2 linked regions of the Drosophila melanogaster genome follow. The protein of the gene in region 1 interacts with the protein of each later gene in a pairwise test. Each region holds a gene or a part of one and is shown on either strand. Other genes may lie near its edges.

Region 1 (7,689 bases):
GCCTCCTTGTAGGCCACATCCAAGCGCGTTTTACCAGGTCTATTAAGTTTATATAGATTTATAATTCTTCCATTCAAGTAATAGCATTCTAAAACTGCAACTTACGTGAGTAGAACGACTAGTAGCTCCGCCATGATGCCCACATGGTGATGCACCTGCGCATTTTCACAGATCCCTCGCAGCAAACAGTGACGACCTCGACCAGGAGATCCACTCACTTGGTCCATATAGTTCTCCAAGGCGGCATATACGAACAGGCGAGTGTCGTCCTCGTGCGTCTCATCCAAGCTCCTGATCTTCTCCTGCAACGAACGCGCATATATCGTCTCCCATTTGTCCCAGGGATATAGTGGTGCCGATGGCAGGGTAAATGCCCCGAAATGCAGCACATAGTAGTAGACCAAACTGCGCCAGACCACGGGATCCTCGAGCTGAGTGGACAGCACGGGACCCACTACCAAACGGATGGTTCCTCCATTCCGGTAGATCAACTGATGCCTCTTCTGGCGCGCATGCATATACTCCGTAATATTTTGGCCAACTGGAGCAGCTACTAACATATACGCACTCCTAACCACAGGTAATGAACAGGCCAATAAATATATCCAAGAAACCAGTTGCATTGTGTGGAAAAACGTCTGTAGGTGGCACAATAACTTTCGAGAATGAAACTCACTGGAATCGATACCCATTTGTGATGCTGAAAATTAAAGCATTATGGACTCAAGCAATTAGCATCCAAATTGGGTTATAAAGACATCCAGATCTGCTTTACATTTTCGTTCTGCATAATTAATTGGGTAAATAATTACAGATACATTTCTACATATCTTAAAAACACAATTCAAAAATTCTTTCTTAATTTGAACTTCTATTAACATAAGGAATTTATTGTCATGTGTATTTATTTAATATTATGTCGTCATAGCACATTGATTTATAGTTTAGTATTTATATTTTACATATACAAAACAAGAATAAAATGTATATTCCCGCAAAATTTAAAATATCGCTTAAGAAATCCCTGCAATGTTTTCTATGTTCTTACCGCCATTTCTGGTATTTCAGTGAATGTACGCAACTGGTCACTCTAGTATTATTAACTAACAAAATAAACAATAACATAACCAAGGATATAAAGGAAACTGTAGAGCAGCGATGAACGCCGTGATAGCGCTGTGCCACTTTTGCGAGGCGCACGGTCCCTGCGCCATCTTCTGCACCCAGACACTGAGGGACACCAAGCTGGAGGACCTGTCACTGGAACAGCAGACGCAAAAGACCTGCTCCGCCTGCAATTACTCCATGGGCAAGAATAACAATGCGATCTACAGCAGGGACACGGAAAGCGGGGCCACATTCGTCAGCACCAAGGTGGCGGTGCTGCCGGAGGTGGCCAGTCTGGTCAAGCAGGCGGCGGTGCTCAGTCTGAGCAATGGTACGGATGCCAGCAAGGATGGCGAGTTCGTGTTCTTTGGCGATTCGTCCAGGGGTCACATCCTGAGTCACACCTTCCGAGTGAGCGACCTGCAGGCCCGCGGCTACTCGCAGCTGTTCTCCATCATTGTGCTGATGAAGGACAAGTATTTCCTGCTTAACATCAAGCCCTTTCTGGCGGAGCACCTGAAGAAGGTGTCGTCGGAGCTGCAGGCAGCTGCCAAAAAGACCAAGGAGACGGAGGAGCAGACGTACTCAGAGCGACAGAGGCGTCTGTCCGGCGCTCAGTTCCTGATGCCCACTTCCCGTGCCTTGCTGGAGCTAACAGGCGAGGAGCACATCTTCGCCCAGTTGCACTCACACTTCTCGTGGCTCCTGCTAGCCGGATCCCGCTTCCTCACCGAGCACGTGACCTTCGGCAACCTACCGTGGCTACCGCCACAAAGTAGTGGCCGTCCTCCCGCACAGCGACTCACCTACAACAGTTCCACACTGCCAATGATAGAGAGCATCGACGATCCCGATCTGGAGGAGTTCTTCTCGTTGCGCCATCTCAAGAGTGTCGTCCGCAAGGAGGAGTTTGCCACGGTCTGCTATTGTGCCTTGACTGGGGTGAAGATTGTGGTCAGAGGTGATCCCAGAAAGACCTTCCGTTTCATGGTCTGCCTGAAGAAACTCCTGCCCGAGCCCATGCACAATCTAATGCGAATCGATGCCCAACATCAACACTCCATCAGCTCCGAGTACAAAATCATATCCGTGTCCAATGACATAGCCGTGCCAATGGCCAGTAGCTCCGTTTATCGGATCGATTTTCTGGACAAACACGTCAACGGACACGAGGTGTCGGTCAAATGGCCAGGAGAGCTGCCACGAAAATGTAAGCTTCACATCCAATCCGTTCCCGCTTTCACTGATAAAAACGAGTCGGGGATATTGATATTGATTCTATTGATTCTCCCACTTTAGTGCCAGATCTTATGGTGAAACTTTTAAAGGCGGTGGAGGAGAAAAACTTCACAGAACTCGTGCTGAACAAGCAGACCAAGGTGCTCATCGAAGAGTGGAAAAAGTGAGTAGCCGTCCTATTTTGCTGCACAGATCCGAACTCAATTGAATTCCATCTACAGCAAAGTGACCTGCCTCAACCATGCCAAATCCACCAGCGTGCAGGGCAAACTTAAGAAGGTGCTTGGCGTGCAGCCGCACGATCAGCCGATTATTAACTACTGGAGCACACACCTTCACTAGTACAACCGATTACCGCACAGATTAAGGACTTTCTTTTTCACCTTTTGGAATAAAACTCTTTTATTGCCGTGCGATGGCGAGAAAAATCATTATCTTAACCAAAAGGATGCCGAATCCAGTCCAGTCAGCCAGTCGCTTACTTCTTGTAGCCGCAGCTGGAGCGACGACCACGAGCACGCTCGAACTTGCGTCCCTTAGAGCGGACATAGGGGCGGGTGTGCGAGTGGGGCACACCGGGAGCCTTGCCGAAGTGCTTGCAGGCGGTGCGGGCGGTACGCCTGCCCTGCAGCAGCAGCGTGTTCTTGCCGGTGGGCGATCGGAGAGCCAGTTGATCGAAGGTCAGGACCTCACCGCCGGCCTTCAGGATGCGCTCCCTGGCGGTCTGCGTGACGTGCAGGGCGCACACGGTGAGCTTGGGCACCACCAGGAGGCGGGCATCGTCGGTGACGGTGCCGACGACCACGATGGTAGACTCCGGCTGGTTGGCGGCCTTGAAGAAGCGAGCGATGCGCTGAAGCGATAGCGGCGGCCTGTTGATCTTGCTCATGAACAAACGCTTCAGGATGATGCGGTTGAACTTCTTGTTGGTGCGGCGCTGAAGGAAGCGGTACAGCTGCGGGGGCAAACAAAGAAAAAAAAACAGATTAATCTCCACATTCAGCTGGTAGTCAACGCCATCGAAAGCCTCACCTTGACCAGCAGGCGCAGGTACACATCCTGGGATTTGGGCTCGGTTCTGCGAACCTTGCGATCGTACTTGTGGTTGATATCAATACCCTGCAAACGAAACACACGTATTAGAACTGGTGTTTATGATCGGAAAAACAATTGGTCGGCATTCGAGCGTATGTTTACTACATATCCATGGAACCGATCAGTTAAACTGCTTATTTCATGGTATTTTAGCTTCACAAACTAGATGCCGCCCACACAAATTTGTTTTTATTTCATTCCGTCGCCAGGAAGCTTCGCAATGCACGTGGGCTGAGCCACAGTTGGCGTTTTAGGTTATTTGTCAGTTTCCTGCTGGAATCATTGCCGCACTTTTATCGGTAACCCACCATTTCTTCTGTTGAATGTATTAATCAACGCTAAAATAGAGAATTGGACATTAATTTAAGCTAAAAACGTGGAGCATCAATTTCTTGCACGTACCTCGCCGGAAACGAAAGCCAAAAGAAAGAAAATAGTGTGGCTGCACCGATCACAAGCAAGACGCTAAAATATCCAATTGTGCTGTTATGATAACAGCGTGCTGTTAAGGCGCAAGCTTCATTTATTTTCTAAGCGATATCCTAAGTTTATAAACAAAATTTCTAGCATTAATAATACTGTGGGTAAAACTTCCAAACCTCTAAATCAAATTAAAACAAAATTATATGTGAAAGCTCTTATTTGCTTGATATACAAGTGTGGCAACGCCGCTAATAACATCATTAGTATGACCATAGGATTTTTTTTTAATATTAGGGGGGTACAACAAAATATTAATAGTATCTGATTTTTTACATGGCATTTTTGTAAATTGAATTTCTAATAAGCAAGTTAATGCAAGAAGGTTCGGAAATCAAGCGACCCTTTTTTTTTATTAAAACTGATGCCAATTCTGAATAATAACTATTCAGCGGTGTGTATTTTTGCATTGCCTCGTCGGGTCACACTAGAATCTTCAGTTTCGGGTTTGTGTGCAGTAGAAAGCTTCAAATATCTATGTCTGATCCAGGAAGCGCCGGCTACAACATAACCAAGGATCCGGCCCTGGCAAAGAGTCGAATCTTCTTGGGCAACCTGCCGGTTTGCACGCGCGAGGAGCTGGTGAGCATTTGCCAGCCATATGGCAAAGTGCTCGGTTCGATGGTCCAGAAGAACTACGGATTCGTGCAGTTTGAAACGGAGGAGCTGGCCAATAAAGCCGCCTCCGCCCTGCACAAGTCCACTTTTAAGCAAAACATGCTCACCGTACGCAACGCCAGCATTAAATCGAAGGCGGCCAATGCTATCGCCAAAAGAAATTCAAATCAAGGAGGCCAGGTGACAGTTCAGGGTGGACTTGTGATGTCAGCGGCGGCAGCGGCAGCAGGTCAACCCCTCATCAATGATTGCGAGATCATAGTCCAAAATCGCGAGAATACGTAAGTTATGATCCCCAATACCTTATAACTCCAGACGATACTCATGGCTTTCATTACCTGCAGCAAATACGCAGAATACATTGAGGAGCGGCTAAAGAATTCCAGTCTGCGCGTGGATGTACTCTTTCCCAACGAGGACGTCTTGCTAGGCAAGGTCCTGGCCAACATCTCTTCGCGCGGCTGCTTGTATGCGGTATTGGTCACGCCGCAGCACGAGGAACACAACAGCATCACAGTAAACATTTTGTATGGCGTACCCGCTGAGCATCGCAACATGCCGCTGGAGGACGCCATCACCCTGATCTCCACCGATTTTAGGCTCAAAAAACAGCGCGACGCTGTCGTCTTACCGCCGTCAACATCCATACACAAGGGACAGCGACGACATCCCCAGGAAATGCAGGGGCTGCTGGAAAGGCTGGCAGACAATCATCCATTGACCGCGTCGCAGTACGAGGTGATTCTTAAGTACCTCGAAGGCGAACGCGAGGAGCAACTGAAGCGAGAGGTGGGCGAGGCCAATGCTCTGGCCAAGCTAAAAGCTCCCGATCCAGAGATCGAGCTGCAGAAGAAGATTCTTAGCATCATGAACAAGCCGGCAGTAACCGATGTCACCAGCGAGCTCATGTATCCCACTTTCGAGGCAGTCAAGGAGGACAGAAGGCTAATGGAGCTACTTGCTGACGATCGAGTGTTGGCGGCCCTGGAAAGTGTTTACAACTCGGATCTCAGACAGATTTTAGCCGAGTATTTATAGACTACCAATACTTAGTAGTATTCATTAATTTTAGCCATTAAGCATATTTAACATTTAATAAATGTAATACCTAATATATATGACGTAAATCTCGGGCTTCCAGAATGCATTTAATAAGTGTAAGACATTAACAACTAACAATTGGCTGTTTCTAAGGCCAGGATCGCTTGGCTTCGTGTCCCTCGTACTTTCCACGGTACTTGAGACCGGTGACTAGGGTGGAGCTCTTGGGGAAAGCCGTTTTGCCGTCGAATTTGGTATCTGTCTCGGGATGGAATCGCACGTACTCGTACTGGATGTGCAAATTCTCCGGCAGCTCGATGCGCTTCAGTGCATCAAACGGCACGGTGGTGTCCACAGCTGTTTGGTAGAAAGCGATAACATCGCTGACGGTGCGCAGTTCATGTACCTGGGAGTTGGGCACTCCGTGCTGCAGCTCCTGGAAGCACGCGTTCAGGAATTCGAATTTCTCGGAGAGATTCCCCAACTGGTCGGATTTCAGTTGAAGCGAGGCGGCTACGGTTCGAATACGTTCGGCGGCATCTGCAGGTGGGGAGTACGGCTTATGGGGACGCAAGAAGCTACAATCAGGAGAATATTTACTTGGTTTTTATGTAAATAAATTAAAGAAAGTGCTTACCCCTTGGCGGCGATGGACTCGCCGACAGCTGAAATGGTGCTGGTTTTGACGGGCTTTGCTTTTGCGGCCTTGGCGGCGGAGGCAAAACTCCTATGCAGGCTTCCCGCAAGCTAAATTCATGGTGGCATTGGATTTTAAGTGAACATTTTTATTATTTTTTACTTACAATTAGGGTTTTACGTAAAATCGCTGCCATTGGATGTGACCAGATTGAAAACAATGCGGCATGGCAGTCAATACTGAAAATATATTCACTATACTTACAGGTAAGGAGATGGTAACACAAAAATACTGCATTGAGCGTTGCCAGGTGGACTCACTGTTTACCCACTGTTAAATTTATAAACAAACTTAAAAAAAATGAAAACATTATGAGTATTGAGTTATTTTTAGTCGAAGATCTATCTCATAATAGTCTTTCTTGAAACAAATTTTAGTTTAAGCAACAATAAGTGATAGGATTTTATTTTAAAAATATATTACCTCATCAATTTCAATTTAAATCTAAATTCGACATAACTTTACGAACGATAACTTTATTAAATTGCGTGGCAGCTCTAAGCTTTTGTCGATAATAAGGTCCTGTTATTCAATTGATAAGTCCTGCTATCGCGCCAACTGTTATTTTTTTATAATTTTGCATTGAATAATAGTTTTAAACTACATTGGTGTTCTTTATGTAGTATAAAACAGTATGGACAGGACAACAGTTGTCCCGAGTCCGGCCTCCACCTACTGCTCCTTTATGGGTGGCTCCCAGCACTCCCCATTGCGGCGATCACAGCGCCTCATCGACAAGGAAAACCGGGATCTGCAGAAGATTCCGCCCAAAAGTCTTTCTCCTCAGTTATTTGGAAACACTGAAGATGATTACAGTGAACTATTGTTGCAGCAAGGGAAAGTGGTTCACCTGAAGCCTGCAGCTAAGTTGGTGCCCGTGAGATCCTCGGATAATCTAGTCCATCTTGGATCCCGGGATAAAGTTGTCCCCTTGAAAACTTCCAATAGAATCGTTCACCTGAAGCCTCCATATAAGATTATCCACCTCAAAAGTTTAGATGAAGTTGAAAAGACCGTAAAGAAGAAGAATAATATTCAGAAAGAAGTTCATCAAAGGAATTCACAAAGGAGAAGCATTCAATGCACTCCCAAAAAACGTGGTCGAAAACCAAAGCAACCGGCTAAGAAACTGCAGTCAAGAATTTCCACCGATCAGCTAGGAAGCACACCATCGCCATCCAAGCTGCCTGCCAAATATCCCGCCCATTTTGTTCATCAACTTCCGCCCGCTGAGGATTCCAGCTGTGCCACTCGAAGACGATCCTTATCTGCTCCAGCTATGCAACTTAGCGATCTAAGCCTCACACCCGATGAGATCCAAACTCCGGAGCGGCGCGGTGAAATCGTAAACAAATCGCCATCGGATCTCGACTCCGATGTCTCCTTGAACTTCTCGCTGTCCGATTCCATTG
Region 2 (9,038 bases), on another chromosome or scaffold:
ACAGCACCAACAGCAACAGCCCTACGGACTAAGCAACTACGGCCAAAGCTCTTTAGCCACGGATATCGACATGCCACTGATTGGAGAGCTCTCTGAGCCAAATGCTCCACCCACGCCCCAGTTCCTGGGCGAGGTGCACACGCCCATGTTCGATGCAGTCGCTGCCGCCGAGCAGCAGCACTATCACGCCCAGCACCATCACCATCCGCAATGATACAAGCCCCACGGAAAGCTCAAATCACGCGACTATACCCTTCACTGGCAGAACTATTAGTTAAAGTTCATTCATATTCATCGCACATTGGCCATATCCCGAATTCCGTATCACCAATACGAAGGCAAATAAATTGTATAGCACCTATTTATGAATTGTATATTGGCCCCTTTTAAAATTAATGAAACATCATAAATGAAATCTCAGTTGCACAAGGGATTTGAATGCTGGATGTGAGTTGGGATTTTCAAAAGATCCGTTTTGAAAGGCGTAATCAATCCTCTGCAATGGGATCTTTATCTTTACATCTAAAATATCTTTCAATTCATTTGAATATTGGAACCTTATTAATTGTAAATGACAAACAATTTAAATTGTAAATGACAAACAATTTGTAAGTTTAAAATATACCTTCATATCCTTAATTACGACTTTTATTTGTTTTGTATTGAAAAGTTTGTGAATTCTTGAATACCACGCACACATGTGGTCTACGCAATTTCGTTTAATTGGCATGAATTCAAATTATGGTAAAGTGGGAGGGCACAAAATATTTTATTGACAGGTAAGGTAACCATTATTGTAATAAGGTTATTACAACGCTAATTATGTGAATTAGTGGTAAAAGCGCCAGCGCTCGCAAAGAAAAATCAAGGTGGATAGCAGCCACCCACATAGGAGTACTGCCCACCGCAGGCGCAAGGAATCGACATCTAACGAGTGAAATCCTAGGAAGTTTTCCAGAAGTCGAACATAGCCAGCGCGCATTGCATCGTTAAAATCGGATACTACCCAGTGCCGCAGAAGTCCTGCGGCCTGGATCCGCATGATGAACATGTTCAATGACGACTGCAGGTGGCAGTCACTTTTCATGGGATAGCCTATAATCGGGGAGCCCAGGCATGCCGATGAGAATCTGAAGATTGGCTTGAAGGCGTATTGCTGTTGTAGTGAGAAGAACTCCCATCTCTCCAGGGTGAAGGGGTAGGCATAGCTCCGATTGAATCCCAGAAGAGCGGACACCTGCTCACTGGCATTCACGCCCACTAATAGTTGCGCTACTCCGTCCACCAAATCTGGTTCCACATGCCGTAAGAATGTACTGACTTCGTAATATTTTACAAGTACCTTTTGCTGTTACTGGATGAGCTGCTGCATGCTGTCCACCTGCTCGCCCACTACCAAGGTGGTGAAGAAGCTGCCCAACATAATGCTGTAGAGGTTGGTCACCACAAAGCCCAGAATACTAAGGTGCACCGAAACTATAAAATACCTCAGGGATGGGTTGTAAATCCTGGAGGGAGAGCATATATTAATTATTCGGCTGATGCTATCTAGGATGTTGAGGCCAATCCGCTGATCCCAGGTGCGGTGCAGCAGACCAGGCTGAATGTAGTAGAGCACTCCGCTGATATAAATTACAGAACCGAGCAGTAGTATCCAGCTTGATTGGTTGAGAGGCAATAGTAGATACATGTAGCGAGATATCTCGTTCCTGACCGGAACAATAAGACAATTGCTAGCTATTAGAAGGGGATAACTGTTATCTCCCATATTTTCCGGAACGTCTACATACGGATGCAGGGAGATTTCTAATTGGCCATCCACAATCTGATTAATTATCCGACCCATATTCACGCTGCTGTTGATGGCATGCTCCTGCTGAGAATTACTGACATGTAAAGAGGCATTGTAGCGATGCAGGTACTCCACAAATGTGCGATATCCAAATCCTCTGATCTGCTTGCGTCCGGTTTTCTTGTCCTTCACGAAAAACACTCGCGGAATGTCGTTTTCCACTGGGGTAGACACCACATAGCCTTGGAAATTTTTGGAACTGAAAGTGCCACAGTCTCTTAAACGTGCTCATTATAGCTTTGCTGGATGAACTTCGTTTGTCTGATAGAATCACAATAAGGCGAATACCACGTAATCGTCGAAGTCTCTTATCCATATTAAACCAAATCAATTCATGGGAGCTTTGGCAAAACAACAAACCAAGCGAATTATCTGCATTTATGTTAAAGTGACCCAGAGCGTTTTCGTTTTTGGCTGAAGTAGATGTATCCACTGTATGACAAGTTACTTCCATCGTATTTTGAAGCCAACTCATCAAGTTATTCAGGTCATCCGAATTACAATGTCCGCCTAAGAAGATGGGGGTATTTTTCCAATTCTCCCTGCCGCGGATGACTGTCAGCACCGATCTCAGCAAAGTCATGTTATGACCTCTTCTATGGGGTTCCATCTGGGCACGAGTGAAAAGCAATAGGAACAATACCAGAACGTTGTACATGGTGGTTAACTGTGCATTGGCTTCTTGAAATCCTTGCATCTGACTTATAAGTTAGGCAATAATTGAAATAATTGTACATAATCAAGACTGATTGGTCCTATCAATGATCAAAAGCTAGGAAAATTGTTGCAATGCTTCCTTCTGAACTATGTTATACAATTTCATAATTAATTACGAACCTTTTTTTGTCGAGATATATAATTTATTTGATTTACTTAACTTATTTGTTTGGAAGTGAGCATTGAATTATTGCACATCAAGGGGGACAGAAATGATAAAACATATACATTTAGAGTTTGGCTGAATACGGGGAATTTTACAAACATGGAAATTTACAAATCACTTTGAATAAATTAAAATTACTTCTAACGTGGGAAATATCCTTGAAAGAAATCTTTAAACCGTTTAAAGTCCACAACCTTAGGAAAATAATATTTGTTAATAGGGTTTAGTTGCAAGAAATATCAATAGGCAATACTTATAAAAGAAGATAAGATTTAAAATTTCGTTCGCAGATTTGTCTATATATGGAATCGATAAAGAAGGATCACTTTTGTTGCTGACGTTGCTTTGATTGCAGAAGGGCGGACAATACCAAAGCAGTATCTAGCTCCTGCTGATTACCAGGTTCGTTGTCCAAAGATATTTCAGCAGCACGTTCGTGAAATCGAGCAAGGACGCGAGAGCGATAGTCTGCACATTCGTAAAATGTAGTATACAAAACTGAAATTATAATCATTTTCAAAACTCACCCACACTGCCCGCCAGCGGATTTCCAGTAAGTCGAAGGGTCTCTAGAAGCGGAAGATTGGCGACATGATTAACTTCATCAAGCTCCTCGATCTGATTGGAACTAAGGTCCAGGTTAACCAGTGAAAGTAGTTTTCGCAGACCACTTAGTGTCTTGATTTTGTTCTGAGCTAGCTTCAGAGTGACTAGGTTTCCCATCGTCAAATGCCAGTCCACACACTCTGCTATAAGATTCCCAGATAGCGAAAGCAATTGGAGTTGAGGAAGTTCGGCCAGATTTTGGACGGTCCGTATTCGATTCTGGTCAAGGATTAGGCGTCTGAGTTTTGGAGCTGTTCGTACACTGCCATCGATTTGGGTTAGCAAATTGCCTGTCAGGTCGAGTTCTGTTATCTCTTGCCACGCATCCGCACTGACCAAGGCACTACCATTAGAAGTGGAGGGACCGGAACCGGAGGGGGATGCAAGGATAGTCTCTGGCAGCAGGCTTGGCACATCGCAGTGCTTGTGCAGATTGTCGCAGAGCAGGACTTGATTTATGTTCTGTATGGTTGTGTTATGAACACAGATTGTCTGGAGAGTCGGCTTCAGAAGTTCGATGTCCACAATGTTTTCGGTAGACAAGGCCGAAAATTTGAGCGTCTTGAGATTGCGAAAGGCATTTAGATTAAAACTTAGTCTGTTCGGAATAATATTGCTGCGATCGATTGGCACATCAACCGTATTGTAATCCTGGGCATAGCTAGCATTGTCCTTGACCGGGGTGACCACCAAAGCGACAAGTTGTGTGCAAAAGTCCAGCACGTGCGAGAAGTCGTACTTTCCACCGCGATCCAGGCTCGGTGGGCAGGGAAGACTAAGCCGCTCACTAATAGCGTAGACCTAGTAGAAAGGGGAAAAAATAAAAAACAATCTTAGAATAAGTAGTATAAGTATATTTTATATTGATTTAAGCTGCCATTGCAGCCTTGGTGTTCTTTAAAGGAAATAGTTCTTTTTCTTCTTTTGCTAGAAACTTCATCATCAATTTGTAAAGTAAAGCTATCCCCAGATATTTTCTCTCCTTATCCGATAAACTTCGAGCTCGACCATAGTAAAAACCCAATCGTCGGTTAGTCAAGTGATTCATGCCGAGAGCATCAATGATAGATGCCTCACGAGTTTGCGCATCTTGTGACGAGATTCCCTGAAAAGCGCGTATTAGTAAGACTCCACGATTTGCCTTCCATATGGACACAATTAACGCCAATTTGGGATCTTTTACTAATGTGATGTTGTTGGTTTCATCTACCAGTTTCTGGGCGTTTTTTAAATGAACGTAGGGGCGGGTGGCCTTGCCTTTGCCTACATAAAATATTGCTCTTAGAAAGGTATACCAAACATCCATTAAGTGAAGTTGACTGGCCCGTTCTTTTAGATTATTTGTTACTCGAGGATCCAGTAATATGTAGTTAAAATAATGTCGATTAATACAGTCATTATCTCGGTACCACTTACTATGTTGTCGAACAAACTTTATAAGGTTACTGATATTCTTAAAATTGCTCTCAGAATTTATGGTATTTTCCAGCTCTGTAGAAAAATTTGTGTGATGCTTGTGGAGGGTACCCAGGGAGTAACTAATGGGTCTAGCTTTAACTTTGCTTTTAAAGTTATTTCTAAGCTGCAAAGGGATGGTTTGGATAAAGTTGAATACTAATAATTTTGACATTTTTTCTGTATATTCGAACTTAACAAAAAACGCAAAGGAAACACTTACATATAATTATATCTTACCTCTAGGGCTGAAAGGTTGTATTCCTTCTTGGAGCTGAGCAGAGCATCACCGCTTTCATTGAACAGCTTGGCAAGATCTTGTAGCAGATAAATAATGTCGTACTTGTTAAAGTCCAGAAACTCGGCCAGAGCTCGCGGCAGTTCTGTACGGAAGTAGATGAGAAGCTCCTGAAGATAAATTTCCAACTGTTCACGACGTTGCTCCAAAAAGGAGGGCTGCTTGTTTCCAACTAGCTGAAAATAGGAAATTATTCATAACTTACATACGTATGTGTAATAAATGTTTGGGGGCGTACCTTCTTCGGCGGCAGCAACTTCTTACTGATGGAGATCTCGCCAACCAGCTTCTCGTGAAGATTTGCAAAGTCCCGATAACGGCGCTCCACCAGCCATTCCACCTTGCCCACTCGCACCTTGATATCGTAGTAGGTCACTCCGCCGCTGGAACTCTCGTTGCTAAACTTTGGAACCGTCACCGTGGTGTCCGCATGCTGGCGGTAATAGCAAGCCATCGCAGTCCTTTCCGCTTCCCTGAGATTTGGTCGAACATCTGGATCCGCATCCAGCAAGTAATCATTTAATAAACATAGTCCAATCAGCCAGTATTGCCAGCAGTGCTGTCAGAGGTCGATGGACATTTGGCCATTAAGCCAATAAATGGCTATAGCCAAGAGGTGATTTAATGGGCAAAGCGTTATAATAATAAAATAAAAAATAAAATTTAATTCTTAATTTCAAAAAGTAAACTATCTACCTAATTGTGGCAATTTTCTTTAATGTTTCAATCGCTATTATTATTGTGCATTACCTAAACAAAGCTAAATTTAGAAACAAGAATATTAAAGTGACACCACTGCAATCGCATTAATTAAATACCAAACGGTATATTTTGTCAGTATGAAAACATCCCTTCCTGACGTGCTATCGAATTATCGATTGCTTGTCTTTCGGCTTTTTTGTTTATATTTGCTTGTTGGCATTTTCAGTTCCCAGAACAATTCTTTTTAAAGTTAATTAGCTTAACTAAGCAATGCCAGTAACAAGACAATCTGGAAAGTAATTGACATATCCGATCTGAAGGCAGACAAGGCATTAAAATGGCCTTCCTGGGCGACTGTGTTATTGTGTTCGTGTCGCAGGCAAGTGGAAGTCTCAATTTGGACATGTTAAGTAGAATAACTTTATTGAAATATATTTCAGATGATATTCTTCGCCGGCGGCTGGCTGTTTTTCAACAAAGAACTCTTCAAGCACTATGAGATACGACATATATCCGTTCAGTTGATTTTTTCATCCACATTTGCCTTATCCATAACCATGTTCGAGTTGATCATATTCGAAATCATCGATGTTCTGGAGTCCAGTTCAAGGTACTTCCATTGGCGACTGGGTCTCACGTTACTACTCTTTATGACGACGGCTGTGATACCCATTTACATTTGCTACTCCGTGATACACAGCATTTCTTTCTGTAAGTCCATCTCAGTGCATCCTAAATTTTACCGCAAATAACTTTTTATTTTCTTTTCAGTTTCCGATAAATGGGTCCGAATTCTGACCACATTCTGTTGGTTCATCTTTATATATGGGCTTTGGCGGATTGGTGACCCCTTTCCTTTGCTGAGCGCTTCCCACGGAATCTTTACGATCGAACAGGGCGTTTCCCGGATTAGTGTGATTGGGGTCACTGTAATGGCCATACTTTCTGGCTTTGGTGCCGTCAATTATCCGTACACCAGTATGTCCTATTTCATCAAGTAATGCGTTGCCTTAAATTCCATCTTATCTCTGTTTAACTTTTCTTTTTTTTCTATTGTTTGGCAGGCCAGTGTCTCGGAATGATATCATCTGTTTTGAAAGGCGTTTGGCTTTGACAGTAGAAATGCTGTCGGCCAAAAAGCGGAAGATTGCCATGGCCATCTATAATCACAACAAACTGAATCCTTCCAAACCCAGAATTTGGGATATGCTTGCTTCTGCGGTCCAGCGCAACACGAACAGTGGCGAAGGTTGTTATAGATGATATTCTGTGATCTATATGCCTAATTTTTTCCCTTAATTTCTTCAGACATCAATCAATTAAAACAGGAAGTGTATGGCTTGGAGGAGCTATTACGCTCTGTTTTCTTAGAACTTAGTTCATTGAAAAACATGGAAGAACGCCAAAGATGGTCTCAAACATTGAAGGGAAAGTACTTCAATGTACTAGGACATTTTTTTAGTGTTTATTGTGTTTATAAGATATTTATGGTAGGTCTATAATTAAACAACTTTATAGTTTCGATTAAAAATACGTTTATTTAACAGTGTTGCATCAACATTATCTTCGATAGAGTCGGTCGCAAGGATCCAGTCACACGAGGCCTTGAAATTGCCATACACTGGTGCGGCTTTAACATTGACTTTGCGTTCTGGAATCAGCATATATCATTTCTGCTCGTCGGCTGCATTGTGATCACCTCGATTAGAGGTTTGTTGCTAACGCTGACAAAAGTAAGTGCCACAATTTCTTATGTTTAACTTATGCTATAATATATTTTTGTAGTTCTTTTATCGCATTTCATCGAGCAAGTCGAGCAACATCATAGTACTTATTTTGGGCCAGATCATGGGCATGTACTTCTGTTCCTCAGTATTGCTGATGCGCATGAACATGCCAGCCGAGTATCGTGTGATCATCACCGAGGTTCTAGGAAATCTGCACTTCAACTTCTACCATCGTTGGTTTGACGTAATATTCCTGGTCAGCGCATTGACCACCATCATTGTTCTATATCTGTCACGCAAGCCAGTTCGCGTGGACGATTCCGATCTGAACTGATTTAAACTTGAGCGCTTCTGAGAGCCATTAGCCTCTCATTTTAGGATAACCCGAAACGATTTAGAATCAGTTAGCCTAATTATTGCAAGCTTTAAGTTATATATATCCGTGTATATACCAGTGTGTATGTATATATTTAATGCACATTAAGCTAACTTACTGTATAACGATGCACAAAAATCAAAGTAACATTTGTTTGATTAAGTGAAATAAAACAACAAACTGTTTGTCTCTGAAAAGGGATATTTATTCGAAGCTTAAATATCCCTGCCTTAAGCTTTAAAAAAGCTTTCCAATGCTTAATATAGGTCTTTGGGTTACTTTTACCAGTTGCCTGTTGGTGTAAGGTTGGCTCAATTTTGAGTGAGTTGCGCTTTAACATTTGAGCAGTTACAATTTTTACAGTATTTCATAACCAACGTTCCATTGTCTTAGAACATTACTCAGTAGTTCCTCGAGGAATGAAAACTGAAGGAAAACTCAGGGACAACTTGATGGGTGGGAGGCTAGGCTAAAGAAGTGCAAATGGGCAGGACTAGGTTCAATAGAATGGTGTACCATAAACAAAAAGTATTTTTATTTTAATATCAACCTTTCAGTTCAACGTGTAGTACATATTATGTATCGTTTAAACACCTGAGGCAAATTGAGAAGGTCTCTTAGACAAAACGTAAAAAAAAGGGCAACATAAAATTGCAATTACAATTAAAGATGGGCAACTTTTTATATGTCCCGGAAAACGCGACGTTACAGCACGGAAAAATAAAAATAAAAATTGGCAACTGTTCCGGGTCCCAAGACGGCAGATAAGGATATAACCATTTGCGCACTTTGGTGGCTAAAAATGCCATTAAAATGTTGCGGCTGCCGCAGATCCAACTGAGCGAAAAGCATTTCGAGAGTCTAGATGAATAAATCATGAAATAAAAATGATTGAGGGGCACCAACCCAGAGGGAAAAAAGAAGGGGTTCGGGTTGCGGATCCAAAACTGCAGTCAAAAGCGCAATATATGAGGTGAAATCAATCAGCTGGAAGCCCGGTGAATTGGTAACTAAACACGGAGGAGAGACAACGCATTGCCTAATTAGACAGAAAACCGTTGCGAAAATGAGGCTCTGCTGCCCCCCTTTTGCGTGTTTACTTTTAACCTTATCGATTTCATCGATTAGTGATTGATAAT

What was found.
Region 2: the proteins of Neos (region 1) and CG11807 interact in a two-hybrid assay, tested with the Drosophila melanogaster proteins (one large-scale study listed by BioGRID).

The regions. Positions count from the first base shown.
Region 1 is NT_037436.4:7,237,477-7,245,165, forward strand, and holds Neos (neosin), read left to right. Parts: upstream 1-4,151; 5' UTR 4,152-4,398; coding exon 4,399-4,820; intron 4,821-4,883; coding exon 4,884-5,577; 3' UTR 5,578-5,663; downstream 5,664-7,689. Other genes in the region: CG14829 (uncharacterized protein), read right to left, coding at 1-39, 106-623; BHD (Birt-Hogg-Dube), read left to right, coding at 1,159-2,317, 2,407-2,509, 2,568-2,688; RpL18 (ribosomal protein L18), read right to left, coding at 2,825-3,301, 3,379-3,465, 3,750-3,752; mRpL50 (mitochondrial ribosomal protein L50), read right to left, coding at 5,729-6,158, 6,218-6,327, 6,384-6,413; mei-P22 (meiotic P22), read left to right, coding at 6,912-7,689.
Region 2 is NT_033778.4:15,198,126-15,207,163, reverse strand, and holds CG11807 (uncharacterized protein), read right to left. Parts: upstream 5,912-9,038; 5' UTR 5,845-5,911; exon of another isoform or gene 5,791-5,844; intron 5,698-5,790; 5' UTR 5,549-5,697; coding exon 5,333-5,548; intron 5,271-5,332; coding exon 5,037-5,270; intron 4,972-5,036; coding exon of another isoform or gene 4,210-4,971; exon of another isoform or gene 4,177-4,209; intron 4,143-4,176; coding exon 3,263-4,142; intron 3,204-3,262; coding exon 3,058-3,203; 3' UTR 2,989-3,057; exon of another isoform or gene 2,930-2,988; 3' UTR 2,698-2,929; downstream 1-2,697. Other genes in the region: row (relative of woc), read left to right, coding at 1-214; CG42391 (uncharacterized protein), read right to left, coding at 4,210-4,971; GPHR (golgi pH regulator), read left to right, coding at 6,134-6,175, 6,237-6,507, 6,568-6,793, 6,861-7,045, 7,105-7,286, 7,344-7,529, 7,582-7,857.